Pelodiscus sinensis: one gene and its partners. The protein of the gene in region 2 interacts with the protein of the main gene of each other region in a biochemical or structural test. Links are inferred from orthologs where the notes say so. Each region holds a gene or a part of one and is shown on either strand. Other genes may lie near its edges. The genes, in order: FGF7, FGFR2, FGF10 and PLCG1.

Region 1 (7,138 bases), on a different chromosome or scaffold from region 2:
ACGCCTAAGTGAGTTGGAGGAGGCACTATTTGCATCATTTTCAAGGGTTCAGCCTTGCAATAGGCTATACTATAGGGCTATTCTTGAAGTCTACCTAGACACTTAAGATCAAGTAGAACTTGCCCCCTTTGAGGGGCAAGCTGGCATGACAAATAATACCTGTGCTAAAGTCTCTATTTGTTTCCTTTCACTTCTGGCTTGCCACTTCAGATATCAATGGAGATCTTTAAAGACTAGAATGGTTATTCAAGACATTCTCAACTTTGCACCTTTGCATAGCAGTACAGGTGGATGAGTGGTTCTCTCTTAGACCCTAAATTTAAAAGCTCCACCACAGACAGCAGGGGGCTCTCAGCTGAGTGCTCCCTCTTTAGAATTCACTTTTCTTGGTAATTTCTCATGGCCCACTATTAGAGATCTTGTGGTCAAGTCCTCAGCAGATGTACATCAGCATAGCTCCATTGACTTCAATAGAAGTATGTCAGTGTATAGTAGCTGAAACCCTAGCCCCATTTTATTCAGTGCTTTACTGACTGATTTTCTTATATTCATAATCTTACTTTTCAAAAGTTGTGATTGATTCACTATTGGAAGTGCTTAGTTGTCACTACAAAATAAATTATAGAAATTAACACAATCAATATATCACAAGAGCAGCTTCCCCACTTCCTGTCCTAACCACCAAAATTCCAGATACCAGAAGAACCATTTGGAAGGAACTTATTATAAGACTATTCTATCACTGCAACAGGGACAAATTATTTCAATCCATAAATGCCAGGGATGGCACTCCCCAGGGCCCTTGCAGGTGAACTGTACTAAAAGCCACTTAAAGTGTTGAGTGGAACCATTTATGTTCCAGGTATTGTGGGCCAGGATGGGTGCATGCTACTGGGTCTCTCCTGAAGGAATCAAAACATGAGAATGGGCATTTGTTGATAGCATATAGTAGCATCAATTGGACTTTTTGATCATCTTAATTTCAGGATCTGGCCTGAAATCCACAATGATTTTGAATGGGTTTCACATGTTAGTAGGGACTAACTAGTCAGAAATCTTAGGTGACTGAAGACATTTTGTACCTTTTATACTTCCTCCCTCAATAAATAACTGCCATTATGGTGCATTAATCCATAAATGCAATTACTACATTATTATTAATTGTTCAAATCTAGAGTCAATTTGTCACTTAGATGTTTGGTCCTCTTTGTCGTTGTCCTTTCTGGGCTGGAGTGTGGTGTGGCTCTCATTTTCCTACATGAGCCTCCTTTTCTCTTCATTGTTAAAATGTATATTTGTAACAATTATAAAAATACTCTAAGGGTATGTCTACACTACAAAGTTAATTCGAACTAACAGACATTAGTTCGAATTAACTTTGATAGGCGCTACACTAGCGCTCCGCTAGTTCGAACTTAATTCGAACTAGCAGAGCGCTTAATTCGAACTAGGTAAACCTCATTTTACGAGGACTAACGCCTAGTTCGAATTAAGGGCTGTGTAGCCACTTAATTCGAACTAGTGGGAGGCTAGCCCTCCCCAGCGGCCACTCTGGGCACCACCAGGGAAACTCATCTGCCCCCCTCCCGGCCCCGGAGCCCTTAAAGGGACACGGGCTGGCTACGGTGCCCGTGCCAGGTGCAAGCCTTCCAGCACCCAGCCAGTAGACCCTGCACCTGGCACGGCTCGAGCCAGCCACCTGCTGCCACCCAGCCCTCCACCTCTTCCTGGGACCAGGCTGGCGACTCCCGGGAGCCTGCCCGGGTCCGCAAGAGGCGGGCGCCCCCCTGGTTTAGTGCGGAGATCGTGGTCCTCATCCACGACCTCTGCACTAGGCACAGGAAAGTGGCCATCTAGGGCAGGGGAGCTGCCAGCCTGGCCACCCGGGAGCAGGTTTGCATGAAAAATCAGGGTGGTCCACTGAGACCCCCGACCCTGAGCCCTGAGTTTAGAATGTCCGTACTGGGTCAGACCAAAGGTCCATCTAGCCCAGTAGCCTGTCTGCCGACAGTGGCCAACACTAGGGACCCTGGAGGGGATGGACTGAAACAATGACCGAGCCATTTGTCTCATGCCATCCATCTCCAGCCTTCCACAAACAGAGGCCAGGGACACCATTTCTACCCCCTGGCTAATACCACTCCATGGACCCAACCTCCATGACTTTATCTAACTTCTTTTTAAACTCTGTTCTAGTTCTAGCCTTCACAGCCTCCTGCAGCAAGGAGTTCCACAGGTTGACTATTTGCTTTGTGAAGAACAACTTTCTGTTATTAGTTTGAAGCCTGCTACCCATTCATTTCATTTGGTGTCCTCTAGTCCTTCTAGTATGGGAACTAATGAAGAACTTTTCTTTATGCACCCTCTCCACACCACTCATGCTTTTATAGACCTCTATCATATCCCCCCTCCGTCTCCTCTTTTCTAAGCTGAGAAGTCCCAGTCTCTTTAGCCTCTCTTCATGTGGGACCTGTTCCAAACCCCTGATCATTTTAGTTGCTCTCCCCTCTCCCACCCTCTCTCTTCCCCTCTCCTACCTCCTTTTCCCAGTTTCCCCGAGTTTTGTTCAATAAAGAGAGTTTCTATTTTTGAACACACGTGTCCTTTATTTTGTACATCAGGAAGGGGAGCTAGGGAGGGGTAAGTGGAAGGAGGCGAGGGAGGAATGGGGTACGAGCCCCCGATGGGGAGGACTGGGGTGGCTCTGCGGGCTGCTCAGGGTGGAAGTTCTCCTGAAGCCCCTTGATTGACCCCCCCCTCTGGATGGCAGCCTGCGGCAAGTGCAACCGGGCTGATGGCCGAGTGCTGTGATGTGCCGAGTGTGGGCACTCAGGGCACTCCAAGCCAGGACTGCTTTGCAAGAGGGGAACCCCTGAGAACTGTCTGTCCGGGGTGGGGGTCGGGTCCCTTTAAACACAGCCCTCGGCTAGCCTGAGGCAGCAGCTCCACACTCTAAGTCCTAATCTGATGCTCTGCCGGCACTGCTTCCGGCCATCCTTAACCTCAGTTCAGGGTCCACTCAGTGTGGATATGCTAGTTCGAATTAGCAAAACGCTAATTCGAACTAATTTTTAAGTCTAGATGCATTAGTTCGAATTAGCTTAGTTTGAATTAACTAATTTGAACTAAGTTAGTTCGAATTAGTGCTGTAATGTAGACATACCCTAAGAGAGTTAGAAAATAATTTTCCTTCACTAGTATGGAAGTATTTTCATGTAAATAATTTTTCTTTCAGGTAATAATAATAAAATAGAATTCCTGGGGTTCTACTCTCATACTCTACTTTGAGTAAATCTCACTGATATCAAGTGAGCACCTAGGGAGTGCTCCAAGGGAACTCTGAGAAAAGCTGAAGCATCAGAACTTTGTGAAGGGAAGTTACTCATATCCTCTGAGTTTGCATGTGGTTTGGGAAGATGGGAGGGCAAGCATGGTGACATAGGGTCCTCTGATTTCTCCCACCGGTGAGTAATTTGAAACACTCCAAAGTCATGAATCATTAAACCCTTCTCACCATTAAGTGGCATACATTATCTCTTACTGTTCTTAATGGCTATTAACTAGCTCAAGTTTTCAATCAAGTTTAAGAATTCCAATACACTAAATTATTCCCCACCTCTCCTGAGAAAGTTGTGGATCAGGGTACCCATAGCTATGTTACAATTACAATACTATTTTCAGAAATCTACAAATACAGGTAAGCAATTTCCTGTTTAGGACAGTGCATTATAAGATTTTTCCATTCCTGTTTTCTAAAGTATTGCAGAGATGTCCTGTAAGATAAAGAATAGAATCAAACAAGATTAAGAGGCTTGCTATGCTTAATGAATACCAGAGTTTCAACATGTTTTGTAATTGCTGGATTTCACCAAAATCACAAGAAGATTTTAAGGATGACATGGAGCAGAGATTTTTGGACAGCAGACTCATGCCAAAAGTAGAAAACAAATATGTAGAAACAGCATAATAGGTAGCTGTTATATTTGCCTCCCCAAAACTTAAGCCTTTAGATGCACGCTAATGTGTGCTAATAATGTGCTAATATGGATAACATCTGTACCACTGCAGCTTTTAAATCTTATGCTGCAATTTCTAGTAAGTATTCATTGGGGGAAAATTTGGAATATCATTATTACATTTTTCTCCAGGTGCTGAAAAAGGTCTAGACTGAATGCTAGATTTAGAACATACATTGCACTTTGTCCACCACAGTCATGAAATAGGCACCTTCTGTATTTTGTATGCAGTTGTTCCTTATTTACACGTCTACAATACAAAACACGACACACAATCCATAATAGACACCATGCCTCCCACTTTCACTAAATAATGCATCCAAGTATTTCAGATATCTAAAGGGAAAGTCTGTAAGAAAAGTATGTAGCCATTAATCTGTATAAACGATTTGGAGGAGAAATGCATGTGTGCATTTAAGGGAATACTGAACTAAATCAAAGAAAAGAAACATTTTAACTGACATGAAAATAAATGTTACCCAGTGATCACAGAAATCTGTTTCTGGAAAGTAGGTACATACTTGGAGATTTAAAGCATAAAGTATGTTTATAGCTCCCTCTGATGACCATTGGACACTACACAACATAAGTCTTCTTTTATTTTTGTTCATGCATTCAACTGACAGCTGACTGGTTAAATTCTAATTGCTTCCAAGTGAGGTCAGCAAAGGTATTTATCGAAAAGAACTGAACAACAGGCTCAACACATACACGCGCATGCACAAGCACATACACACACCACAACTCTTGCGTGTTGATTTATGGAAACAATTATAATTCTGCTGAAGACTTTCTGAGCTAAGAAAGTTTGTAGCTACGGCAGAGAGTCTCATGTTGCAAAAGGCAGACAACAGAAATGGAATACTTGTATACCCAGCTGTTATCAGGAACAAGTAAGTTATCTATCCTTTAAAAGTATGTTCAAGGCATTGTAACAACTAATAACTTTTTCAGTTTTCTTGATTGATGTATGTTAGAATAAACCTTCTTGACATTTTCTTTAAACATCTACAAGTAACTGAATTATGTATAATATATAAAAATAGAGTCCCATGAACATTTGGTCTGTCTTTACATTTAAACTAGAGAAGTGTGGGCAGTTCTCTAGGAAGAATGTGGCTAACTCCAAAGGTATAGGCATGAAGTAATCAAATGTAAGAGATGCAATAGCAGTCTACTTAGTTCAGTAGCTCAGCTAAATCAATAGTTTTCTTTTTGAAAGCCTTATTACTGAAGTACAAAGAGAGAATTGTACATAGTTCAAATGAGTGCTGCTATCAAGATCTCATAGTAGATATGTCTTGCATGTGGGCTTATGTATGTTTTTTAAGACGTTAACAGTGTCACTGCATAAAGCTAAAAAGGTTTTTTTGCTACGCTACAGTAGTCATACAGCATATATTACAGTTGCACACGTGTAACAATTGACCATAAAAATTTATCCATGACACTTTTCTCATAGATCTTTTACTTTCAGTGCAAGCAGCAAAATCAAGTAGTACAGAAGGTCATGACAGCCAAGGTTATTATAACCTGTTTCTTTAAAGGATATCCTGACTGAAAAGATATTTAAGGAGCTATCCTGTTTCAACATCAGTAACTATTAAGGAATAAGGATCAGAATTCTGGAAGAGGAAGCAATCTCAATTAAATCAATCTACAACTCGTTGTAAAGACAGAAGGCAGGTCAATGACCTAGAAGCAACGATCTACTTGAGATTTAATTTTCATTATGTTGTTCATGAACACCCAGAACACTGCACTATAATGCACAAATGGATACTGACATGGATCCTGCCAACTTTGCTCTACAGATCATATTTTTACATTATCTTTCTAGTGGGCACTATATCTTTAGCTTGCAATGACATGACTCCAGAGCAAATGGCTACAAATGTGAACTGTTCCAGCCCGGAACGACATACCAGAAGCTATGATTATATGGAAGGAGGGGATGTAAGAGTAAGAAGACTTTTCTGTCGAACACAGTGGTACATGAGGATTGATAAACAAGGCAAAATAAAAGGGACACGAGAAGCAAACAACAACTACAGTAAGTAATGTCTCTGCATTTGAAATTTGTATTGAAAGATTTTAAAATGTGGCTTTTTATCCCTTCATTTATGATGCTTTCACAATAATTTTGTAAAGTACAGTGACCATTCTATTAGACATGTTTTCCAATTAATCATGCAGCAGGACATTTGGTATTGATTTTGAAATGCGTCACTTTAAATAATACGTTACCAGTATGTTGTAGATCTACCAATGTATTAGTTACAGCTGGTAGCTATTAGCAAACAGAGAGCGTATTTTAACAAGTGAATTAAGGTTGTACATCTGCAAAAATATAACCACAAACTCTATGCTCATAAAGTACTTATAAAACATTAAACCACATTTATATAGGACGCAAATGATCTACAAGCTCAGTATGTGTGATTTAGCAATAAATATATATTCAATATTAGAACATTTAATGGAAAGAATTATTAAAATTGTCTTGCAAAACCAGTTGGACAATTTGCCGGCTAGGAACAAAATTTATTATAGCTTTTACAGCACATTATTACTATAATAATGACAAAATATTCTCTTCTCTCATTTCTAAAAAAGTTCACCCACCCGGAGAGGGTGGACATGTAAAATTTTACAATTATGCTTTTAACATGAGCTAATGGTTTTTTATAGTAATCCTGATTCACCTATATCAATATTTAAAATAATTTTCATATTTTGCATGTGCTGTTCTTACCAATTTGACAATTTATATACGGTATTGCAAATTTAGGAAAATATCACAACTACTTCAAGAAAATTGGTGCGTGATTTCTTTAATTCAGAACAAAATAAAAATACAGAGAACTATGTATTTTAGTGCTTAAAATGAGAAAAAGTACAAAATAATTATTGCTTTAGAGTGTCAGAGGCATCTGTTTTTCCAGTGAATAGTGTTTATAGGCATCTTAAACATCAAAACTCTGACCTGTGATGTTTAAAAATGTTGTTGGGTTACTTGCCATATAAATTAGGAAGCATTATATAATAGCCAAAAGAAAAACAAAGTGAAAGAGTTTGTAATATGATTGGTCATTTTCAGTTGAAAATTTATTTTCCCTCCC
Region 2 (6,846 bases):
GTTCTTAGATCTGAGTTTCTGAAAGAATCAGTGCTTCACAGCAAGTAGCAGAGTGAGAGACAAGTATGTAACACACAATATATTGCAGATACATAATGTAATTTAGGAAAAGGTTAATATAAAGCTTTTGCCCCAAATGAAAGAGAATAGAGAGATTGAGCATTAGGTGTTGAAGCTCTTTAAATGAACAGTTCAAATTCAGCTCAAGGTCAGAAGTGATTTTGAGTTATTAGTCACCATTTGATAACTTATGTGAACTGACTTTGATGATCTCCCTCCAGTTCCCCAGTGGGCAAGTATCTACTGCACACGAATGGGCCGCTGAGAGGCTACCCTTTGACAAGGAGAGGTGTTTTGGTCTGTATCGAGAGGTAGATATGGCAGTGTGGAGTGATTTGCTCTGCTGCTGTCCAAATTGTATCAGATCTTTGGTTAACAAGAAAGAAAAAAGAACAAGTGTCTAGGGTTTTATAAAGCAGCTTTCACAACCACTAAATTCACATGAAATTAGAAAGAAACCTCTTCTGATTCCCCAGAAATATTCTAAGTAGGTCTGAAAAAGAAAAGGGATAATGAATACACCCTTCATAATGTAAGAGGCATAAAGAATACAGCCTCCTGAGAAACAGATTGCTTATAATTTTCAAAAGAACTTGCTAGAAGCCACAATGTGTTTTGGAAGGAATAAGGATCATATTTCAGCCTTGGATTTTAGACACACATTGTGACACCCTGTGGCAGACATGCCAGGAACTTCATTCCATAAATCACATTTCTTGAAAAGGAGGCCTCTGTACTCAGTAGTAGTAGCAGCAGCAGCAGCATTTGTTTCTTCTTTTTCTTGGCTGCTTCACTTGGAAGTGGTATAAAGACTTAACCCTCGTCAGGAGAACCTTCAGAGACATAATGTAGTATGTGAAAGCTCCAACTTTTGCCTTGTTAAATGAATCTTAGTCCATATAAACACCCCCTGGAAAAAAATCCTGATAATGCTGCAAAATGGGTGTGCTGTTTTCATTTAGGTTTTTTGGCAGCATTTTTAACAAGAATATTTCTGTGACTCTCAAACCAGATGCATCATCTTGGATGGACTATGATGGCAATAAAAACATCACCAATATCTTTATTCTGAAAACAGGTTTTGTTAGAAACATCTTACCAGATAAGGAGAGAGAATGGGTAAGAATATTTATTCATTTGCTTAGACATGAGTGAGTCCTTATCAGGATTTTGTGTTCAACTGGACCCTTGTTTAAGTTCTTGGGTCCCTGGGTTTATTTTTTTTATTTTTCACTGTTTTACTTTTACTTTCCTTAAAGTGGTGCTTTTCCTTTTCTTTAATTGTTATATAACTCTAGGGAACTAGAAACATTTCTTACCTTGCCTTTTCATCCTGAAATGTCACAAGTAGATTTTTTTTTTGCATTTTTTGTGTTTATATTTAAACCATGTGAGTTGTGGCAACCAATGAGATACTCCCATATTTAAAGTTAAGCATGTGCCTAATTAAGTACTGTGTTGGGACAAAGGATAGACACTCAGTTCACCTAATGAGCACTGCCACATTACTGGTGGTGAAAGACAGTGATGATCTCACCGTAGCCTCTTGGATAGCCGCAGTACTGTCCTGTCTGCAGAGGAAAGTGCTTCCTGTCAGCCACTGAGAGTTAAAAAATAGTTCTTTCCCACCATAAAGGAATATACATTTTGGATCAAATTTTGTTTTGACTCTCGCTGTCCTAGTTTTTTTTAAAGAAATCAAGCACAACTAACTGTTAAAGATATTGCTTATTAAATAAAGTGGAATCCTTTAGATGTATCATTAAAATTTATAGTAGAGAGATCATGTAAAGTGCTGGACTGGCAGTCTGACAACTAAAAACCTCTGTTTATTTGTGGAACAGGTACAGCACATGCAGCTGCATGTTAAACTGCCTGTGTGTCTGCAGAAATGTGTTTCACCTGGGACTGAAGAACCATCCTATAGCACAGTGTAGCAGTTCAGTTTCCATACCTATTCATTCCCTCCTTGCATTCCACAGAAAGGACCATTAGAGGTGTCAATTTGTCCTAATTTTGCCATCCTACGATCTTGATATCTGTCCACTAGAAACTGCAATGAGACCACAATCTTGTTTAATGGTGTAATGACTTGGAATGTAACGTTGTTTGATAGTTGACCTGGACTGCGTTGAAGTGGCATGTCTATGCAGCAGCTGGGAGGTGTCATTCCCTGGGTAGACATACATGTGCTAATGCTGCTTGAGAGAGCCCCTAAAAATAGTGGTACACAATGCTGTTGAGATTTTGGTAGTTCTACAGCCCACAGCACAGACCTGGAGGGCTGCTAAAGTACTTGAGAGGCCTCTTTCCCCTGGAGCAGCCCAGGAACAGGAGGGTCCACGATGGCTTAAAGCCATTTGCACTCCTTTCCCCAGAAGCAGTGAGTTCTGTGCTGCACCACTTACACGTAATCTCACCTGGTATCTCTACCAGTCCCACAGCCATTTGGTTTCATGAATTCAGTCTCATTTTCCCCACAAATGTCTGTCTTCACTCTCTGTGATACCAGGCCAAGAAATACAGCTTTTTAAAATTGAAAATAACATGGACCAGAAGATGTGGAAATCTTGAGGTTGTAGCTGCCTCAGACAAAACCAAAACATATTTACTTATTATACTGTTTGCTAACAAAGACCAGAGCATGGAAACGAAAGGCAGCTTCCAGGCAACAGGTGTGCTTACTACCTTGTCCCCCTTTCCTTTGTTTAAAACACAAGGATGACAGCACTAATGTGCTGGTCATGCTGGGGCTAATTCCCAGTTCCAGCAATCAGTAGTTTGTGATCTCTAGCACGGTGGGTTTCAGACTTTTTTCTCATGATCCAGCTGATGAAAATTGATGCCTGTGACCCAACATAATTTGACTAAAGTGTGGGCTGATGATGAGAGCTTCAGTTTTGGGAGTGCAGCAGGGCTAGGCCAGGAAGAGCTTATCTCGAGTGGCCCCCAGTCAGTGCTGCAGCGGTACAAGTAGGTTTCCTGCCTGTCCTGGCACCACAGACTATGTTGCACCCCAGAAGCAGCCAGTAGCAGGTTCTAACCATTGGGATCATGGAGCTAGTGCTCAGGGCAGAAGCAATGCACAAAGCCCTGTGCACTCTTTTGCCCCCCATTCTCACCTAGGAGCCAGGCCTGCTGTTGGCCACTTCTGGGGGGCAGTGCAGTCTGCAGAGCCAGGACAGGTGGGAAGGGTGCGTTAGTACCCTCACTGACCACACTGCATCAACGAGATCCAGTGCCAGACATTCTGCTACTCAATCCTGAGCTGCAACCTGTAGTTTAAAACCACTGCCTCAGTACACACAAGGAAAGGTGCAATTTGTGCTTATTAGGGCTTCAACATGAAATGAGCTCTTTGGGTATGAATCTTATCTCCCCTTGCCTGAATGAAGATTTTGAACTAGTACATCTACATGGATGGCTGGAAATGAAGCAAATGCCTTGTTTTAATCTAGACTTAGCCCTCAAAATTCACTATCTCTTTCTTCTCAGAAACCCGGAGGTCTGACCCTTCCAAAACCATCCCAATAATATTTTTCACTTCTCCCCATGCACCCGAGAATGAGGGCTTTTCACAGGTTAATGGCTAAATGAACTTTGTTGTAAATTTGATGCTATGACTTCCAAAGGAAAGAAATGACAAGCATTGTTTTGCTGAGTATTACTTGGTGCTGTGCAGCCCTAAGGCATGCCATGAGTTAACTTTGCATTGTGATATCATTTCTGAGTTTCATGTCTGTCTTTTTATGTGAACACCACCCACACAAAAAGGGAGACCTGTCAAGCAGCAACATGTTCAAGACACCTAGACACACCTATTGAAGCAAAGCTTTCCCTGACGGAGTGTTTGGCATTCTTTTAGCCTTTGCCTATTCAATGGAAGAAAGCAAACAGGTATCGTAGAGTTTATTTTCACGTTGTATTTGTCCAACACCATAAACCTTCTGTGAATTGTAGTTCATGGACAGTCATGGAAAAGGATCTTCATAGCACATTTTCCTGCAGATTCCTAACTGCATATAATACATAATTCTATACCCTAAGCTTCTGGTGAAAACAGCAGTTTTGCATGTACATGCTGTGCTGAGTCTATTGTGGCATTTGTGTTTTGACTGGATGTTTTGATTTAATATTTATTTATTTATATTGTATTTTGTTTTATTTGCTGAACAGTGGGGGACGCAGGGAATATATAGGTTTGTTAGTTCCGTGAAAGTGGTTTTCAGGGTAAATTCCAGGGGGAAGGATCTTAGAACAAAGGCTAGTTTGAACACAGTACTGGGAGCAAGGAACTACCATGTTCTAGTCCTGACACTGTCACCAGTTTGCTGGATGGCCTCAGAAAAGTTACCACTCTGGTGTCTGTTTCCTGGTCTGTCAAATGGGAATAAGGGCTGATCAATACTTGAATCATTCATTGACATAGCTATAACAAAATACAGGACTATGTAGCACTTTAAAGACTGACAAGATGGTTTATTAGATGATTATCATCTAATAAACCATCTTGTTAGTCTTTAAAGTGCTACATAGTCCTGTATTTTGTTTCAGCTACACCAGACTAACACGGCTACATCTCTATCACTATTGACATAGCTATGTCTCTCAGGAGGATGAAAAAATACAACCTAACCTCCTGTGTAGACAGTGCTAGATAAATGGAAGAATTCTTCTGTTGACTTAGCTACTGCCTCTCAGGAGAAGTTCTCCCATTGCTGTAGTGAGTCCACCTCTCCATTGCTGTAGTGAGTGTCTAGAATAGTCCTGTTGTGAGTGCGGGGACTGGACTTAGTTGACCTGTCAAAAGACCTGGGGCCAGTCTTATGAACCTAAGAAAATCTATGAAATAATGTTTTATATGTTATACTGAATTATCCTCTGCCATAGTGCTTCGTCGCTCATAACCAAGGCCCAAAGGCCAATGTTTGAGGGTTTCAGTTCTGTGTATTGGGACTCAGATTGCAGGGCCCCGCACCCCAGGGCACTGGTACTCAGGAAGACTCAGACTTTGGTCTCTCCTCCTGGGTCATGTAGAAATTTTTATTGTCAGAAGAGGGGGTGTGTCTAATGAAGTTTGAGACCCTCTGGTTTAATGAATCCCCCTTCGTATAGTAAATGTAAAAATATTAGTATTTGAGATGAAAAATAAAATAAGTGTTCCTGTCATGGCTCCTTCCCCACTCTGGCATGATAAATGCAGAAGTGGGGGCCTGCAAGTGTACCCCAAAACCTTATCTACCAGGCTTTGGTACAAAACTTCCCCCCAAAATCTTAAAACCCTAAATTTTGGGAATAAAACTTCCGCTGCCACCACCCAAATATAAATAAAGCAATCAAGGGAAAGATCATTTGGGAAATCTCACCCCTAAAGTAAAAATCAGGGCACACGATTAACCAATTCCAGGTTAATAATTCAGCTTGGACCACAAGTTGCATATGAGTCAGCAGTGTGATGCTGTTGCAAAAAAAGGAAACATGATTCTGGGATGCATTAACAGGTGTGTTGTGAGCAAGGCACGAGAAGTCATTCTTCTGCTCTACTCTGCACTAGTTAGGCCTTGAAGTATTGTGTCCAGTTCTGGGCACCGCATTTCAAGAAAGATATGGAGAAATTGGAGAGGGTCCAGAGAAGAGCAACAAGAATGATTAAAGGTCTAGAGAACATGACCTATGAAGGAAGGCTGAAAAAATTGGGTTTGTTTATTTTAGAAAAGAGAAGATTGAGGGGGACATGATAGCCGTTTTCAGGTATCTAAAAGGGTGTCATAAGGAGGAGGAAGAAAACGTGTTCATCTTAGCCTCTGAGGATAGAACAAGAAGCAATGGGCTTAAACTGCAGCAAGGGAGGTTCAGGTTGGACATTAGAAAAATGTTCCTAACTATCAGGGTAGTCAAACACTGGAATAAATTGCCCAGGGAGGTTGTGGAATCTCCATCTCTGGAGATATTTAAGAGTAGGTTAGATAAATGTCTATCAGGGATGGTCTAGACAGTACTGGGTCCTGCCATGAGGGCAGGGGACTGGACTTGATGACCCCTAGAGGTCCCTATCAGTCCTAGTATTCTATGATTCTATAAAAAGAGAACATTTATCATCACAACAATATTCCTGTTGAAAGCTTAATGCCTAGATGGAAAAGTAACATGATATACTCATGGAGAAACTCCATGGGCTTAGAACTTAGTTACAGAGAAAAACCAACCATTTCTTGAAGTGTGCACAGACATCAGACCTCATCCCTAAAGAGAAAACAATAAAACCTAATGGATTTATCTAAACTTTACCCTACTAACAGAAAGTGAAGAAAGGGTCTTTTCTTGGAGGGAGAGAGAGACAATCTTGTCTCTCTCAGTAGCTGCAGAGCAAACCCCCCAGAGGCAAAGGAGGAAAAAACAAAATTCCTTTGTCCCAGTTGAAAGTCCTACCTACTTTTCTATTGGCCACTCCACCTGGCTAAGTGTGGTTAACCCATTAGTCCCCCGGCTGCTAGCCCTCTCTCATAATCATGACACTTCCAAATTGTCATCTATGACGATCTTCGTTCCCTACCTATTTCCCCCAAGAAACTTGCTATGAAATTAAATTTCCTTAGCTTAGAAGACATTCAATACAAGCTTTTCCAGAGGGTTTTTGCAATGCTTTGGTTCCATCTTTTGCATGTAAAGTTGGGTGCCTTTATGGTATCTTGCCAGGTGGTAGTTTGCCAAGGAATACCATAGATGAAATTGCATAGTGTAATATACTCCAGAACTTCATTCTGCTCACTTTCCACTCACTTAAAA
Region 3 (7,858 bases), on a different chromosome or scaffold from region 2:
ATGACTTCATTTAAGCACTCTCAAGTTATTAATTTTGAAGAAACGGTGCCCTTCATTTATTTTATGTATACTTAGCTGACTGCAAACTATAATAGTTTTGTAGTTCTGAATTAATGCTTGATTTACATCACTTGATGATTACCTGTTCTGTTCATTCCCTCTGAAGCACCTGCCATTGGCCACTGTCAGAAGGCAGGTTACTGGGCTAGATAGACCTTTGGTCCAACCCAGTATGGTCGTTCTGAAATTTTATGTGCTCGGGGAAGGGAGGGGAAAACAGGTAAACAAATCTGTGTTTTATTTAATTTTGGCAGTACAGACAAACATTCTGCAACTCTGAAAATATCTATGTCATGTCAACAAGAATATTAACTACCTTTTAATTTTCTTATGTGGTGGGTGAAAAAGAAAAAGACCTGGGCATAATGCCAAGTGGAGTAAGGGGGAGTTGCTCTGGTTTAAGGAGGGTAGGATTGGGGCTCTGAACATGTGTTTCCCTTTACGTTCTTTCCTCAGTCAGGGACTCTTCTTGCAGGCATTTACATGTATAAGTAACTTTACTCAAATGAATAGCTGCAGTGATTGAAATAGAACTGCTTAAGAAAAGTTACTTTCATATATAAATGTATGCAGACAGTCCCTTAGTACTTCCAGTTCTTCCTGAAGCAATATGCTCAGAGAAAACCTATTTACTTAACAATAGAAGTGTACACAAACATTCAGAAACACGTCTGAGAAACACAGTAGTCTTTAGAAGCATAGTAGTTTCTATTAAGAAACATGGTCCACAGTAACAGCTAGGTACAGACAAAATGAAGCCTTCAGCATATGATTGTATCTAATAAAACTTTTCTATGAAAACTAAAAGACTATATGGTAAAGCCAATCTGCTTTGACAAATAAAGCATTACTAACATAGGTCTAATACTACAGAATTAACAGCTGTGATAATATAAAATATTAAAATAAATTGCTAGCTGTAGCAAGTGGAAGCAATGATACAAGAACGCAAATGAAAAAAATGCCAGTTATGGAGGTGAAAATAAATAATGCAAGGACTGGAGGATTAACTGTCATCTTTTTAAATATATAACACTTCATCCTGCCAAACCACACTCTGTACTTTACTTACTGTTCAAGCAGCTCTCATTTATCTACCCATTTGTTTTTAGTTTAGCACCGTTTCTATCCCTAGGTATATTTGGATTTACAAAAACAACCGAAACCCAACCCGTTGCTTTTCACCAGTAAGATCAAATAAAGTAGCTTTTCTTAACCATTGGTATAGCAGAGCCTACCTTCTTCAACACAGGGATGTAGCCATTGAAACTTACACTGCTATATATTATGCTTTACTACCGTTCCTCCCCTTCAATTTGAGATTATTCATTTCCTTGTCTGCACAAAAATTACATTTCTCACGACAGTCTACCAAAAAGTTATGAATGTTCTATTATTGGAAGCCTAATTAGCATTTAGAGAAACGTTCACTGTCTGGGGTAAACTACAAGTCTTGTGACTTTTACTTTGAAAATATTTCTTCTTTAAGAAACTATGACACTGAAACGAGTGTGAGGTCTGCATTAGTCCAGCCCCAGATGTTTACGATGCAATAGCAGTATAGCAGTGCTGCAACATGAGAGCTTTCCGAAGAAAGAAAGGAGTGCAACAGGACAGCACAAAGCAGCACATATGCTATTGACAACGCAGACATGAGCATCATATTACCAGAGAGAAGGCAGGGCAGACACAAAATAACAGCAGTGGTGCCTTAAAAGTTAACTTCGTGGGCTGCAATCGCTCAAAACCCAACAACATGTAGGGGCAGAAATCAAAATCAGAAAAACACTTTTCACTGGATGGGGAGTGAAAGGATGGCGGGAGGAAAGGGGGGAGGTGTCAGTAAATCTTGTGGAGCTTAAAGGGAGGTGGGGAATCAATGTATTGTTTTAAACTTGAGTTTACATCAAGCCATTCTAATGACAGGGGATAATTGTTTTCAGACACAGTAGAAAAGAGCCTCTCCCTCCCCCTTCTCGCCCCCCTTTACAAATCTTTCTAATTTGCTTTTCTGCCAGCCCGGGAAACCAATTGTGTTCACTCAAACCATTTGCAAAACAAATTTCTAGAGGGAGAGGAGATGTGCCGATATGAGAAGGATGCAGGGAGCAGAGTCAAAAGAGACCTCTACTCCACCTCTTTCTGTCACCTTCCCAAGCAAGTGCTCTTGAGCAGGAAAGGTTTGGCTGGCAGGGTGGCATGTGAGCAAACGAGATGCACTGGTAGTGAGGTGATGCTGGGATGGCTTTTTGGGAGGGAGGAGGGGGTACTGATTTGGCTCCCTCTGGATGGTTCAGTTCCCAGGGGGTGTGGGGAGTCAGTACTTACTGTACGGGCAGTTCTCCTTCTTGGTCCCGCTGACCTTGCCGTTCTTCTCAATCCGGAGAAAGTACTTGTTATAAGAGTAGAGCTTCCTCCAGCGGACATCTCCCTGGAGGTGATTGTAGCTCCGCACGTGCCTCCCCGCGCTGGAAGGAGAGGAGAAGGATGAAGAGGAGGAGGATGAAGAAGAAGCGTTGGTGGCCTCCGGGGACCGCATGTCCTGGCAGATGACAGACCCAGAAGACACCAAGAAGAGCAGCAGGAAGAGGCAGCAGCCGCAGCAAGGCAGGTGGGAAAAGGCTGAGGCACCATTTGTCAGTATCCATTTGCACATTGTACTGAAACGCTGGGCGCTGGAAAATGTCTCATCAGAAGAAACATACTGGAAGGGTAAAACCCGGTAAAAGGCAAGTGGGGAGCGGGGGGCTGCTGCTTCTGGTTAGAGCCCTCTGAGCTCTGATCTGGCCTGAAGTGAGTACACCAACATCCATAACTCAGGGGACAAATCGCCTCAGAAGTTGCTGCCTTTTAATCCTCCGAGTCCTCCCTCACAGAAGAAAGTTGGTGGGGTTTTTGTGTGTGTTGGTGGTGGTGGTGGTGGTTAATCCTCTCTTTTTTCTCTCACCCCCCTCCCCAACCTGGTCTGAGGCTTCCCCGTGGTTAATTCGTTCTCTTCCTCCCTCCTTCCTTTACCATCTTAGATGCAGAAAGGTCTGAAAAATAGATGACAGCAGTGAACGACAGCAAAAACAAATCATGAACACAACCCGGGGGGGGGGGCACTGGAAGGGGTTTCTTGCCCCTATTCTCCCCCTCCCTCCCCACACACTTGATGGTTTTTGCACCTTCTGGTTTCCCCACCCCCTTTCCTTGGCAAAGCCCAAGCCAGTTGTACAACTCGTCCCTGCTCACTGACAGCCCCGAGGAGGCAGTTCCTTTGTTTTGCTTTGAATCCTCCAGAAAGTACCAAAAAGAAAAAAAAATCCAGAGAGAAAACTCCTAACTTCTCTTCCCCCGTCTGGTTGTAAACAGGTTGGAAGCTGTAGCCTCAGTGCATGTCAGTGATTACAAGCAAGAGGTGGGATGTGCCTCTGGTGGTCAACCCTTATTTGCAGGGGGTCAAGCAGCGGTGGGACATCTGAAACCCTTCTGCAGCTGGAGTGAGCAAATGCTTGCTGTGGAGGGAGCCTCCGGAGGGAACTGCCCTTGCTTCCTCCCCGTCTGCAGCAGCAGCAGCCGCCTTCAGCTCTTCGCTAATTGCTCCGAAAGCGTTCTCATCCGAGTGCTGGCCACCAGCATGGCTTGGAGACTCATGCTTTACTAATTTCCCTGTCTTCCAGGCTGAACCAATCCCCTCCAGGGAGCCCCCCTTCTTTTCCTTCCTTTTTTAAGTACTTGTTTTCTAGCGCGGGATTTTATTTTATTTTTTTGGCAGTGAAGTGCTTGAAAGAACCACCTGGAGCTCGTTTCTCTGCTGCTTTCCGCACTCCCTCTCTGGGCTATAGAACGGATGGGGGGGGGGGGGGGAAGACGGGTTAGAAGCATATAGTGCAGAGGCAAGCCCTGAAAAGTTACATTTTATGCTGGTCAAGGAGAGTAAAGGGGAAGAGACATAATTAGCTCCCTTTCCTTCCCCTCTGCCAGCTTCCAGGGAGGTCTCTCCCCTGCTTTAAAGTATCACTGATTTCTCGCTTCCGTTGCTAAAATAAAAAGTTCACACTTTAGCCTACTCTTCCTGTAAAGCCTCTCAAGATTTATCGTGTCTCCTTCTCTGCTCACCCTCCTTGTCTCAAATGAAATCGGGGATCTAAATGACCTAACATTTCTAATTACTAACATGAGTCATTGACTGGATCACGCGTCGGACTTCAAAGAAAAGGGGGCTTTTATAGCGATGGCAAAGTTTTCCCCATAAAATCTGTCTGAAAAGTTTTCTGTGGGTTTCTTTTTACCAACAATTACAGGCACCCCCTATGATGTACTCATTTTTATTACTTAAAGGGGGATCAGGGAGTAACTCTGCTCGTGAACATTCCTTGCACAATATATTAATTGTGCCTCAGCATTCACTGATGTAAAATCATTAGTATAAAATGCAAGATAAGGAGTCACAATGAAATAAAAGAATAGATTACAGACGGGAACTGACATGTGGAAACAAAGTGGGTTATCCTGTGCATAAACATGGAACTCGGCTGAAACAGGCATAGGCAAAGGAAATTATGCTGATCAATAGACTACAAGGGAAAAACAGCATCAGCCATTATATTGTGTATTTGGAATCAATCTTACCTTGAACAGCAGAAAATATATAAAAGACAAATAGTTCTAAAATTAGATTGATTAATTAGGCTGGGCTTTTTAGTATATTGTTAACATCACTGTAGAAAATTAGAAATGATTTTCTCCAATTATGGTGTTTACCCTGTTGCAAAAGAGTCAGTTCTTAAATTTATGTGTTAGATTTAGTGGGTGACATTTAAACAGCCTTAAAATAGAACCATTTAATGCTATAATTAATATGTTTTATAGTGTTGTTTATGTTACTCCAGAATATTTATTTTTCATATTTTACTGTGATAAAGACTTCAGAACATTTTCAGGCTTATTTTGATTTAGGATTTTTTTATAATCTTAAAGAAAAAGACTAACACGGCGACATCTCTATTCTATTCTATTCTATTCTATTCTATTCTATAATGAATGTCTGACAAATTAAAATGTGGCTACCATGTTAATTTTCAGTTTTCTAGCTCATAGTTTTATACCTGGGTTGCCTCAGAAGGATCTGTGTTTCAGCCAGATTTTCAGCTGATTCTAAAAATTTAAAATGACAAGTAATTAAAATACATGTCTTATAAATTGTACATTTGATTAACTTTGTTCTAACAAATATCACAAAATCAGCAGCATTTTTTTTTTTAAAAAAGAGTTTCTCTGTAGTGGGAAGAAAAGTAACAATAGAAGCTTAAAATATTTTTAAAGCCTCACACATGAATTTTTTGCTCATGTGAGAAATTCTGCTAAGATCTATTTGTAACTTCTCTTTGGTTTCATGAATCAAAAATAAAAATTGAAACATTAGAAGTTTCATACTTAATCTAGTTCTGGCAGGTGCAATACTTAGTGCAGTACTTAAAACCACTACAACAGATAGAGTCCTTTTCTATACTGTGTGATGACAGGGAGGGCATTTACAAAACAGAGCCCAAATGAAAAGCCGACATAGCTTTTTAGATTATATCTCATTCCTTTTTCTACTTTCTGTATAGCCTTTCTTTTATAGCACAGTTGAATCCCTAAATACCCCACTACTTTGTATTGTTAGGTCACCTCTTAGGTTAGCCTGAGAAAGCCTGAGAAAAGTTCCACAGGAAAGATGCACTATTTAACGGAATTCAATCTGTCCCAATAGATTTGAATCACTAACATAAATGTATGAATGTAGATTATATCTCTGTAATGAGGCCTGAATCATTCTCAGTTACTTCAAAGGACTGAAATTCAACCTTCCTTTTTAGCAGCAACAATCAGACCTTAATGGGTTCCTTTATTAATTGTTCCACTGCAAAGTTTGAAAAGGAACTAACTTCAGTACAGGTCCTACACTAGAAGTGGTACCTACTGCTTCTAAAACTGTTTCTTTTTTTGCCTCCAGGCTCTTTATGATTTTCACATAGTTTATTTTGTGGCATTCTTATAAACATTCATTAACATCGATTCATCTACATTGAAACAAGCAAAATAGTAGAAAACATTTTTCAGGGTGTTGTTTCAGCAGATCAATTTTCCTAAGAATGTTGGGAGAAATGAAGTACATGCAGGAATTTAAGTTGAAAATATCCATGACAATTTTCTAGCCTCAGAGGGCTGTGTCACATTTTTCTTTTGACAGTAGAGATCTTTTTTACCATATGAATTGCAAGTGTTCCTGTTGCAAGACAGAAATTCATTCTTGAATTCAAAGAATACTCAGGCTTTGCCTATTTTTTATTTCCCTCAAACTATCATCTTTACTTGGTGTTGTCTTTAAGTCTGCAATGTTATTGTCACCATCTGAGTCCCAGGATATGAAACAAAGTGGGTGAGGCCATGTCTTTACTGGACCCATTTCAGTTGCTGACAAGAACAAGCTTTCAAGTTTGTTTTAGGTAATAAACTTGTCAGAGGGAGAGCTCTGTGGAGTTTGAAATTTTGTCTCTTTCACCAACAGAAGTTGATCCAATAATAGATACTACCTCACCCACCTTGTCTATCTTATATCTTTAAGTTATTTTAGCCAGTCGCTCTGGAATACAACCAGATGTTTGTGCAGACTTCGGACTGCTGGACAGTAATCGAGACTATTTGCTGCATTATAATTAGAAATGTGTATTCACCTTATAATCATTAGATTCAATCCTGCTCCCATTCTAGTAGATAGGAATTTTGCCAGCTACTGCAAGGAAAGAAGATTTGATCCAGCGATGTCATTCTTAGAGTGCTGCAAAAATGATGTAGGGAATGCTGTATGACGGTCATGAAGCAAAAAATGCAGTCTGTAGGCCAAATGGAGGCTGCAGAGTTTTGCAGCATGGTATATGATCAATTCCGCTTGTACAGAAGTGGTATGACAGGTAGAATCTCCAAGTCCCGGTAGGCAATAAATACTCTGTCTTAATCTGAGGCAGGCCTGTCAGATAGAGCATTGAATGCTGGATTGTTTACACCATAGGATGCAGTCCCATAAACTAGGGAAGATGTGGGCTGTGGTATTTTCTGTAAGTTAAATTAAGGTTTATGATATGTCACCTTTACGGTTTTCCTATGGGTATGCTTTAGTATAACAAAAATTCTCTCTGTCCTTTTATAGCACTTTTCTGTACATCTCAAGTGCTTTGCAAGAAGGTGAGTAAACATTATTATTCCCATTTTCCATGTAGTGTGCGGTACAGTAGACACTCAGAGTTATAAACACCTTGGGATTTGAGGTTGTAATTCAGAAATGTTCTTCACTCTGAATAAAACATTATGGTGGTTCTTTCAAAAGTTTACAACTGAACACTGGCTCAATACAGATTTGAAACTTTACTATACAGAAGAAAAATGCTGTTTAATTTAAATGAAACAAGCTCAGTATATCTTGTTAAATTTTAAAAGTTTCCTTTTATTTTTCGCAGTTTAACACAGTAGGGTACTATATTTGCTGTTTTTTGGAGGCGGTATCTCTGTCATTGCTTGCTTGCCAACTTCCAGGTCCAAATGATTTGTGTGGTTGATGATCAGTTTGTAACTCTGCTGTTCATAAATCTGAGGTTCTACTGTATAATGAACCTCAATCTAATCCAGTGAGCAGAGCCAGCCCAAGCTACGGGCTGACCAGGCTACCACCCTGGGGCGCCTTATTGTAGGAGGTGCCGCGCGGGGTTGCGAGACCGGGCGAGGGTGGGGCCATGTATGTGCTGGTGCCCGGGGGGTGGAGCCATGCATGTGCTGG
Region 4 (7,388 bases), on a different chromosome or scaffold from region 2:
GGGTGCTACATGTGAAAACAGAAGATTTTATTGGATTGCCTTCTGTAAAGATTTTTTACAGAGCTTAGCTATCCCTCTGATACAGAGGTGCTGTCAGTAAAGATATCAAGAGAATCACAGACTTCAGTCTTATCCTAAGTCTCTGCAGTCATTAACCAAGATGAAAGTTAAATATCACCCAGCTTTCTAGAGTGCTATCTAATTTCTACAGCACCCATCACCATAGTATCTAAACACTATTAAAACCACTATTTACTTATGATCCATGCGAACTGATCAAATAGCAGATGGTTAGCTTATGGACAGAAATGTGTCAGACTGCAGAAACCAGATATCCTATTAATGATCAAGCTCTGGTTCAGGAAGGAGACAGGAGAGAACTGCTCTTCTTGAGAAATCAATGTCGATGCTCAATTTGTACTAAAAACATGGCAGGGACACAGATACAAAAAGGACGCACCCCTGATTTTAGACCCAGCCTATCCTATTTTTATGGGAACCAACTTGATACCAAATGACAGTCCCTACTAATAATGCATATCAGACTACTAGCCATATTAGTATTTTACAATTTAGCTAGTACAGTTTATGAGAGGATTACAACATATCAATCCATCACGCAGTTAGTTGTGTCAACATCTGCTTATGTACCTGCAAGTGAGAGAAATTAGGCACTAATAGCTTATCTGGCAGATAAGCGTTCTTGTTTTGCAGATTATCATCAAGCTCCAGGAAAATGAAAAGCAGCAGAGGAGTCACTACCCACAATGTTAATTTTTCAACTGTATCTGGCACAGAAATCCATCTCTCCAGCCATCCACTGCTTCAGGTATGACCTCACTGCAGTAATCAAAATCAGGGCTGGACCTACCAACTCTGTCCATAACTTTAAATACCAGAGTAAACAAAGCAACCAACTACTTCATGGCTTTAAGATAAAAATTAGGTCTGCAGACAGTCAAGAATTTCCATGTAACTGGCTAGACTACTGTCCTCTTAAGCAGGCATGGATAATAAAAGGAGTTTGTATCTACATGCAGCACAGCTCCCACTCAATCAACACACAAATCAAAGATGGTAGGATATATGGGCAAGGGAATACAACTTGCTAAAAGTGGAGCAAGAGTTAAAAATCCAATCACTCTCCAAAGGCTTCAGCCGTTTTTGGATCATTCGCTTTTGCAAGTAAAACACAAAAACTTCACTGTAATTTCTCTCTCTTCTCTCCCCCACCCCCATCTCCCGCGCATGCATGCACAGGTACTCAAGACCATGAGAACCTAGATACATTAAATTACAGTAGCAAGAATGGATAAAAATACTTTTAGTTTTTTTTAAAATCCCGAGGAAACAGGAAATCTATTTTTCCTCTTACGTTATGCTGCAATTTTAGGAGGTGGGGCAGGAGACAGGCAAAATAAGAAGGGCCAAAACAGATTGTCAGATAATCAAGACAGATGCACTTGCAATTCCACTCTCAGATCAGTAATGTAAATGGGGGGGGGGGGAGGAGAGAGAGAACAGCAGGCATTTTTTAAAATGGATATTTCTTTAGGACAACTTCCACTGCTGTATCTAGTTCCCAGGGCGCCTCACTTACACCGAACGCAGCCCGCCTCCGGCCCATGCCAAGCGCCAGGCACCCGCAGGCTCCTAAGCCCTGCTCCGAAAGAGGAACGAGACGCAGCCAGGGTTAGCCGTTTAAAGAGAAGAAGGATCCAGGCAACTTACTCGCCCCTTCGACCTTCTCCGAGCCCCGGCTCCAAGTGATCTGCCGCGTTTCGAGCTTCACCTGGAAAGTTTTCCTCTCCGGCCGCTGGGATTTTTTGGAGTAAAACAAAGTCATGACGGTGCCCACTTCCAGGCTCCGGCAGAGGTGCACCACCTCCGCTTCGCTCGGGACGCCGGGACCATTGGAAAAGGCAGACGCCATGACGCCCTCCGCCGCCTCCTTCCCCGAATGCGGCGAAATCTCCAAACAAAAGGGAACTGCCGCCCTCCACGCTCCCCGCTGGTGGGACTCAGCGCGCAAACAATCCCCGCCGCTGCTTCAGTGCATGGCGCCGCGGGGCAGGGCTCTCCCTTCCTACGGGGGGAAGGGTGTTTTACTGGGGGGGAGGCTAGAAGGGCAAACGCACAACCCGCTCCCGTCCCCCGCTCCCGGCTCTTCGCACTCCGCCGAGCCGCAGAAACTCGCCCCTCTCCCGCTCCGAATCATGCACCATATTTGTTCTCCTTCCCGAGCGGGCTCCAAAGCGAAAGCGGGCGGGCACGAAGCATTCCCCGGCCCCGCGGCTTGCAGAGCGCGCCCGGGGGAAGGACCCTCGGGCTGCCTTGCGCTGTGGGGCCCTCGCTTACAGTCCGTCCCCCCCGCACGAGCTCGCTTTCCCCCGCAGCTGGCGGCTCGCCCCCTGCCGCGGCCGGAGCCGGATCAGCTCTCCCGAGAGCTCGGGAAGAAAGGACTGAAGCAGCCAGCAGCCTGCCTCTTTCACCCTCCGGGGCTCTTCCGCGCCAGCCGCAGCGGGGATTACTCCGGCCCCTCCTGCTCCCGGCACGTGCATTAGGAAAAGGAGGCCCCCTCCTCCCTCCCTTTGCCAGCAGAGCCGGGAATGGAGCTTCCGCGGGGCAGAGCGCGGATCAATGGTGCGCGCTGTCAGGCCGCGGGTTTTCCGCCCCTGCGGGCTCACGTGCCCCCTAGGGCAGTGCCATATGGCGAGCGCGCAGAGGCGACGGTCGCTCCTCTCTCCCTTAGCCCGCCCCCTCCCAGCCTTCGTGTAAAACAAAGCAGAGCGGAGGAGCCAGCGAGCAGCTTCTTAAAGGGACCAGGCCCTTTCCCTCCGCCCCCCGCCGGTTACCTCGTCTTGGGTGGGGGTCTCCGCTTCCTGCCGCCTCCACAGAGGGGCGCTTCTAGCGGGAGAGGCCTGGCTGGGGATCCGCTATCTCACACACATCCGGGAGGGGCATGCAAGTGAGAGGCTGGAGGGGAACCCACCTGTAGGGCTGGGAGAAAGGGAGAAGGAAAGCGGTCCCCAGTCCAAATGGGCTCTGGGAAAGCGCCCCCTTTCCCTCTGCACAGTCACATAGACAGCCAGTCAACGAGGTGCTGCTCAGGGCTAGTGGCAGTCTGGCAGGGGGGATGCCTCCTTCTCTGCTCACGCCAGCCCCATGGCTTGGCTCCCAGGCTGGCTCTGCTCCTCCAGCTGCAGAACAAGGCTGTGTCCTCCTACGTCATCGTGCTGGCACACACACCTCACCCGCCAGGGCTGAAGGAAGACCAGGGAGTTGAGAAAGTGGACAATTGGATCAGGACCTATTACTGGGTCCCCAAACAGGGATACCTAATGCCAGCTATCTGGGGACGAGCACAGCAGAGCCCCCCCTGCAAGCCACATGCACATGCAGCAGCTTCTAGGGCTGGTGCATGAAGACCTTCCCTGTCAGGGCTTCTCCCACATATTGTGACATTCACACGGCTCCCCACTGGTGTGTTCTTCCACGCTCTAGGAGGATGATGAGGTCATAACAAAGAATCCCTCTGGGCTGAACATGAGCATGAGACTACCTTTGTGTTAGGCTAGCAGGACAGCAGCTCTGAGGAGATTCAGGGCAGGGGGCCCTGGAGTTCGATGGACAAGGGGCAAATGGGCAAACTGAGAAGGGAAAGGCCTGAACTCACCCACCAGGTCAGTGGCCAAGCCAGGAAAAGATCAAGAATTCCTGATCTCCCATCTAGTGCCCTTACCAGTAACTGCACTGAAAGTGGCACTGGTCTGGGAGGCAGGAGGTCTGTGTTATCATCATTGGTATTATAGTAGCACGTAGAGGCCCTAATTCACGCTAGGGCCCCATTGTGCCAGGGGCTGCACAAATGCACGGTAAGGGGCAGTCCCTGCCCTGAGGAGCTCCCAAAACAAGACAAAGTGTGAGAGGAAAGTGACACCAGCTCCATTTGACTAACAGGGAACAGCAAGACAAAGAAATTAAGCCTCAGATGCTCAAAGGTATTTAGGTGCCTGACTCCCATTGGTGGCTAGCCCACCATTGATATCAATGGGAGTTAGGACCCTAAACACCAATGAGCCTCAGTGGCTTGGCCCCCAGCATAGAGAGAGTCTGGGGCAGAGGAGGGACTGAATGCAGCTCTTCTGAAGCACAGACAAGTCCCTTAATCAAGAGCCCATCCTGTCTGTCTGTCTTTTCCCCTCCACCTGTGTCCACTAACCCCAAACCGGACACAGCTTCCTTTGCCGGTCTGCTCCATGCCATAATGTTTCGTGCAGAGGAGAGAGCAGCTGTCCTCTTCATGCCAGGTTTGTGTTAGCATCCGCTCGTGCCAGGCCAATTGTGCAGTGCTACATCCTCATTCAGGCCAGTGGCAGGAAATTAAACAAAGCGAGGCTTAGTGTGGGGATAAACAGTTGCTTTAGAAAGTATTTAAGGGCTGTTTGCCACTTTCATTCTTTGGAAGCCCCCTGACTTCCCTTGTCCTCCTCAACCCCAAATCAGCCAGACACAACACGGTGACACTGGGGCAGGGCAGGGCAAGTTTTCATCAGTCCTGGTGGGGTTTTAAGGATATATCAGCTTTTTGCTCTCATTAAATTGGTTAACAGCTGATTCCTAACAGCATTTGCATAACCAGCACAGGGAATGCTAATAATGCACACACTTTTTAAGCAGTAATTGGTAAGAATTACTGTGGTCCAGTTTTAAAGGCTGGTCTATCTTTTGCTCCTTACACAAGAAAATAAACAGCATTGGCACCGTGGGAGTCCACATCACCCTGTCTACTTGAGGCCAGGCCTAGCTATATACATACTGCTGCTCCGACTGAGTCCTACAACATAGAACACAAGAGGGCTCACTACTATTTAAAAGAAACAAAATACAGGACTATGTAGCACTTTAAAGACTAACAAGATGGTTTATTAGATGATGAGCTTTCGTGGGCCAGACCCACTTCCTCAGATCAAATAGTGGAAGAAAATAATCACAGCCATATATACCAAAGGATACAATTTAAAAAATGAACACATATGAAAAGGACAAATCACATTTCAGAACAGAAGGAGGATGCGGGGGAGGGGGAAAGGAAGGTGAATGCCTGTGAGTTAATGATAGAGGTGGGGAAGGGTAGATGTCTGTGAGTTAATAGTATTAGCTATTATATAATTGGGGAAGCTATCTTTGTAATGGGTAAGATAGCTGGAGTCTTTGTTCAGCCCCCCGCGGAGAGTGTAGAATTTTAGCATGAATGCCAGTTCAGAGGATTCTCTTTCAAGTACAGATTTGAATGTCTTCTGAAGTAGGATGCAGGTGAGCAACCAGACAACTCTCCAAATGTGATTTGTCCTTTTCATATGTGTTCATTTTTTTAATTGTATCCTTTGGTATATATGGCTGTGACTATTTTCTTCCTCTTCTATTTGATCTGAGGAAGTGGGTCTGGCCCACGAAAGCTCATCATCTAATAAACCATCTTGTTAGTCTTTAAAGTGCTACATAGTCCTGTATTTTGTTTCAGCTACACCAGACTAACACAGCTACATTTCTATCACTATTCTACTATTTAAAAGGATATTCCCCAGTTACTATACTTCACAGCGGTGGTGTCCACCATGCTAGCCACATGTGGCTATTTGGCCAGCTGAGTGTGGCTAGTTTGCTATAGCAGTAGCCACTGTAGTGACAACTGCTTCAGAACTGGTTGGACACCATGGCTGCGTCTAGACTGGCAAGTTTTTGCGCAAAAATTTGCCAGCTGTCTACACTGGCCACTTGATTTTGCACAAAAGCACTGATGTTCTACTGTCTGAAATCAGTGCTTCTTGCGCAAATGCTTTGACATTCCCGTTTGGGCAAAAGACCTTTTCCGGAAATGTTTTTGCGCAAGAGGGCCAGTGTAGACAGCTAAAAACTGTTTTGCGCAAAAAAGCCCCAATGGCGAAAATGGCAAGCCGGGCTTTCTTGCGCAAAACCGCGTCTAAAAAACTGCTTTTGCGGAAAAGCGTCCGTGCCAATCTAGACGCTCTTTTCTGCAAACGCTTTTAATGGAAAAACTTTTCCGTTAAAAGCATTTGTGGAAAATCGTGCCAGTCTAGATGTAGCCCACGGCTGTACAGAGACAGGGAAGGAAAAGCCAATGAGGTTAAGGGCCTGCCCCTACTAAAATAACTAGGAAATGTTGCCCTTCATTGCACTGCAAGTACAATCAAAGCTTAGTATGATGTGCCAAATATGGGAGAGGAATTGGTTCCCAATGCCAGGTTTGAAATTCCTAGGATTCCTGGCACCCAGATCTGTGCTCAGATCACTAACCCAGGCTTTATGCAGTACGGCCCTGTTTCAGCACGCCGCAGCTTGTCATTAATGTCTCTCCCAAACCTTTACTAGCATAACAAAAATACAAATCCTGCCCTTCCCATTTTGATAGGGAGGGACAGCCTTGGGTAAACACAACTGGCGCGGTTCTGCTGGGGCACAAAGGTGCAGAAAGTCCTAACTGCGTGTGGTTCTGAAGCACAACTCCACGGAAACCGACTATGAACCACAACTGCTGAGATACGCCAGCACATGCTTGAGCTACCACAGTACTGAGGCTGCAGAGCAGCAATGCTGCTACTCCCTGGCCTATGGGCAGATCTTTTCCCTATCAGCCCACACAGGGAATTCCTTCTTCCAGATGGGGTACTGAGAGCAGGTGCACAAAAGTCAGCCTGACTGTGGCAGGAGCATTCTCCAGAGTATCTCCATGTGAAACATTATCCAGTTGCCATGTGCAATCATGATATTTGCATGTGCAGTTAGGCATGCATTTTGCACATGCAGCTATCAGGAATTCTGCATGGGTTGTTGTTTTTTAAAACATGCTGTTCATTGGCAAAAGAGAGAGTTTCTATTTACAGTCACAAAGTCAAATGTGACATGAAATTACCTGCACTGGTGTGTGAGGAAAAGGAGTAAGCAGCCGGATAAAACAGAGGTGCTTTGTACAAATCTTCAATGTACAATGGTCTCAAAATGTTCCATTTGGGATTCAGACCTGGGGGAGGCAATGGTGTAAATGTGAACTACTTGATGAACTGGCCCCAGGAGGGCTCGGCCCCAGGATTTTCTTCACCCAAAGCATGAACTGCTAGTTCTTGAGTTAAAGAGCAAAATCCCCTCAGTTGGCAGCAGTAACAGAGCCATTACCCTCTTCTGTGGACAGTTGCCTTCCCAACATCAAACCAGAGACAGCAGATTAAAAACCTCAAACTTGCTTTCTGGAAGGCTGCAACGTAACAGCCGTTAGTTCCTACATTCCAGAACCGTAACGCACACGAAGCAAAGCAGGCAGAGAGGCACTGGTCACCCCACTTTACTTCTGGCTGGCTCTCTGCAGCCTG

Evidence for each region.
Region 1: the proteins of FGFR2 (region 2) and FGF7 form a complex in vitro, tested with the Homo sapiens proteins (3 studies listed by BioGRID). The link is inferred for Pelodiscus sinensis from reciprocal best matches to the Homo sapiens genes FGFR2 and FGF7.
Region 3: the proteins of FGFR2 (region 2) and FGF10 are reported together in a solved structure, tested with the Homo sapiens proteins (3 studies listed by BioGRID and IntAct, with this or other methods). The link is inferred for Pelodiscus sinensis from reciprocal best matches to the Homo sapiens genes FGFR2 and FGF10.
Region 4: the proteins of FGFR2 (region 2) and PLCG1 form a complex in vitro, tested with the Homo sapiens proteins (2 studies listed by BioGRID and IntAct). The link is inferred for Pelodiscus sinensis from reciprocal best matches to the Homo sapiens genes FGFR2 and PLCG1.

Annotation. Positions count from the first base shown.
Region 1 is NC_134724.1:21,760,900-21,768,037, reverse strand, and holds the start of FGF7 (fibroblast growth factor 7), read left to right. Parts: upstream 1-4,138; 5' UTR 4,139-4,909; intron 4,910-5,478; 5' UTR 5,479-5,783; coding exon 5,784-6,069; intron 6,070-7,138. UniProt on the Homo sapiens protein: Plays an important role in the regulation of embryonic development, cell proliferation and cell differentiation. Required for normal branching morphogenesis. Growth factor active on keratinocytes.
Region 2 is NC_134718.1:57,071,676-57,078,521, forward strand, and holds the start of FGFR2 (fibroblast growth factor receptor 2), read left to right. Parts: upstream 1-3,834; 5' UTR 3,835-3,957; intron 3,958-6,846. UniProt on the Homo sapiens protein: Tyrosine-protein kinase that acts as a cell-surface receptor for fibroblast growth factors and plays an essential role in the regulation of cell proliferation, differentiation, migration and apoptosis, and in the regulation of embryonic development.
Region 3 is NC_134716.1:101,213,794-101,221,651, reverse strand, and holds the start of FGF10 (fibroblast growth factor 10 precursor), read right to left. Parts: upstream 3,007-7,858; 5' UTR 2,717-3,006; coding exon 2,389-2,716; intron 1-2,388. UniProt on the Homo sapiens protein: Plays an important role in the regulation of embryonic development, cell proliferation and cell differentiation. Required for normal branching morphogenesis. May play a role in wound healing.
Region 4 is NC_134728.1:25,001,159-25,008,546, forward strand, and holds the start of PLCG1 (1-phosphatidylinositol 4,5-bisphosphate phosphodiesterase gamma-1), read right to left. Parts: upstream 3,011-7,388; 5' UTR 2,993-3,010; intron 2,759-2,992; exon of another isoform or gene 2,484-2,758; intron 2,478-2,483; exon of another isoform or gene 2,087-2,477; 5' UTR 1,934-2,086; coding exon 1,732-1,933; intron 1-1,731. UniProt on the Homo sapiens protein: Mediates the production of the second messenger molecules diacylglycerol (DAG) and inositol 1,4,5-trisphosphate (IP3). Plays an important role in the regulation of intracellular signaling cascades.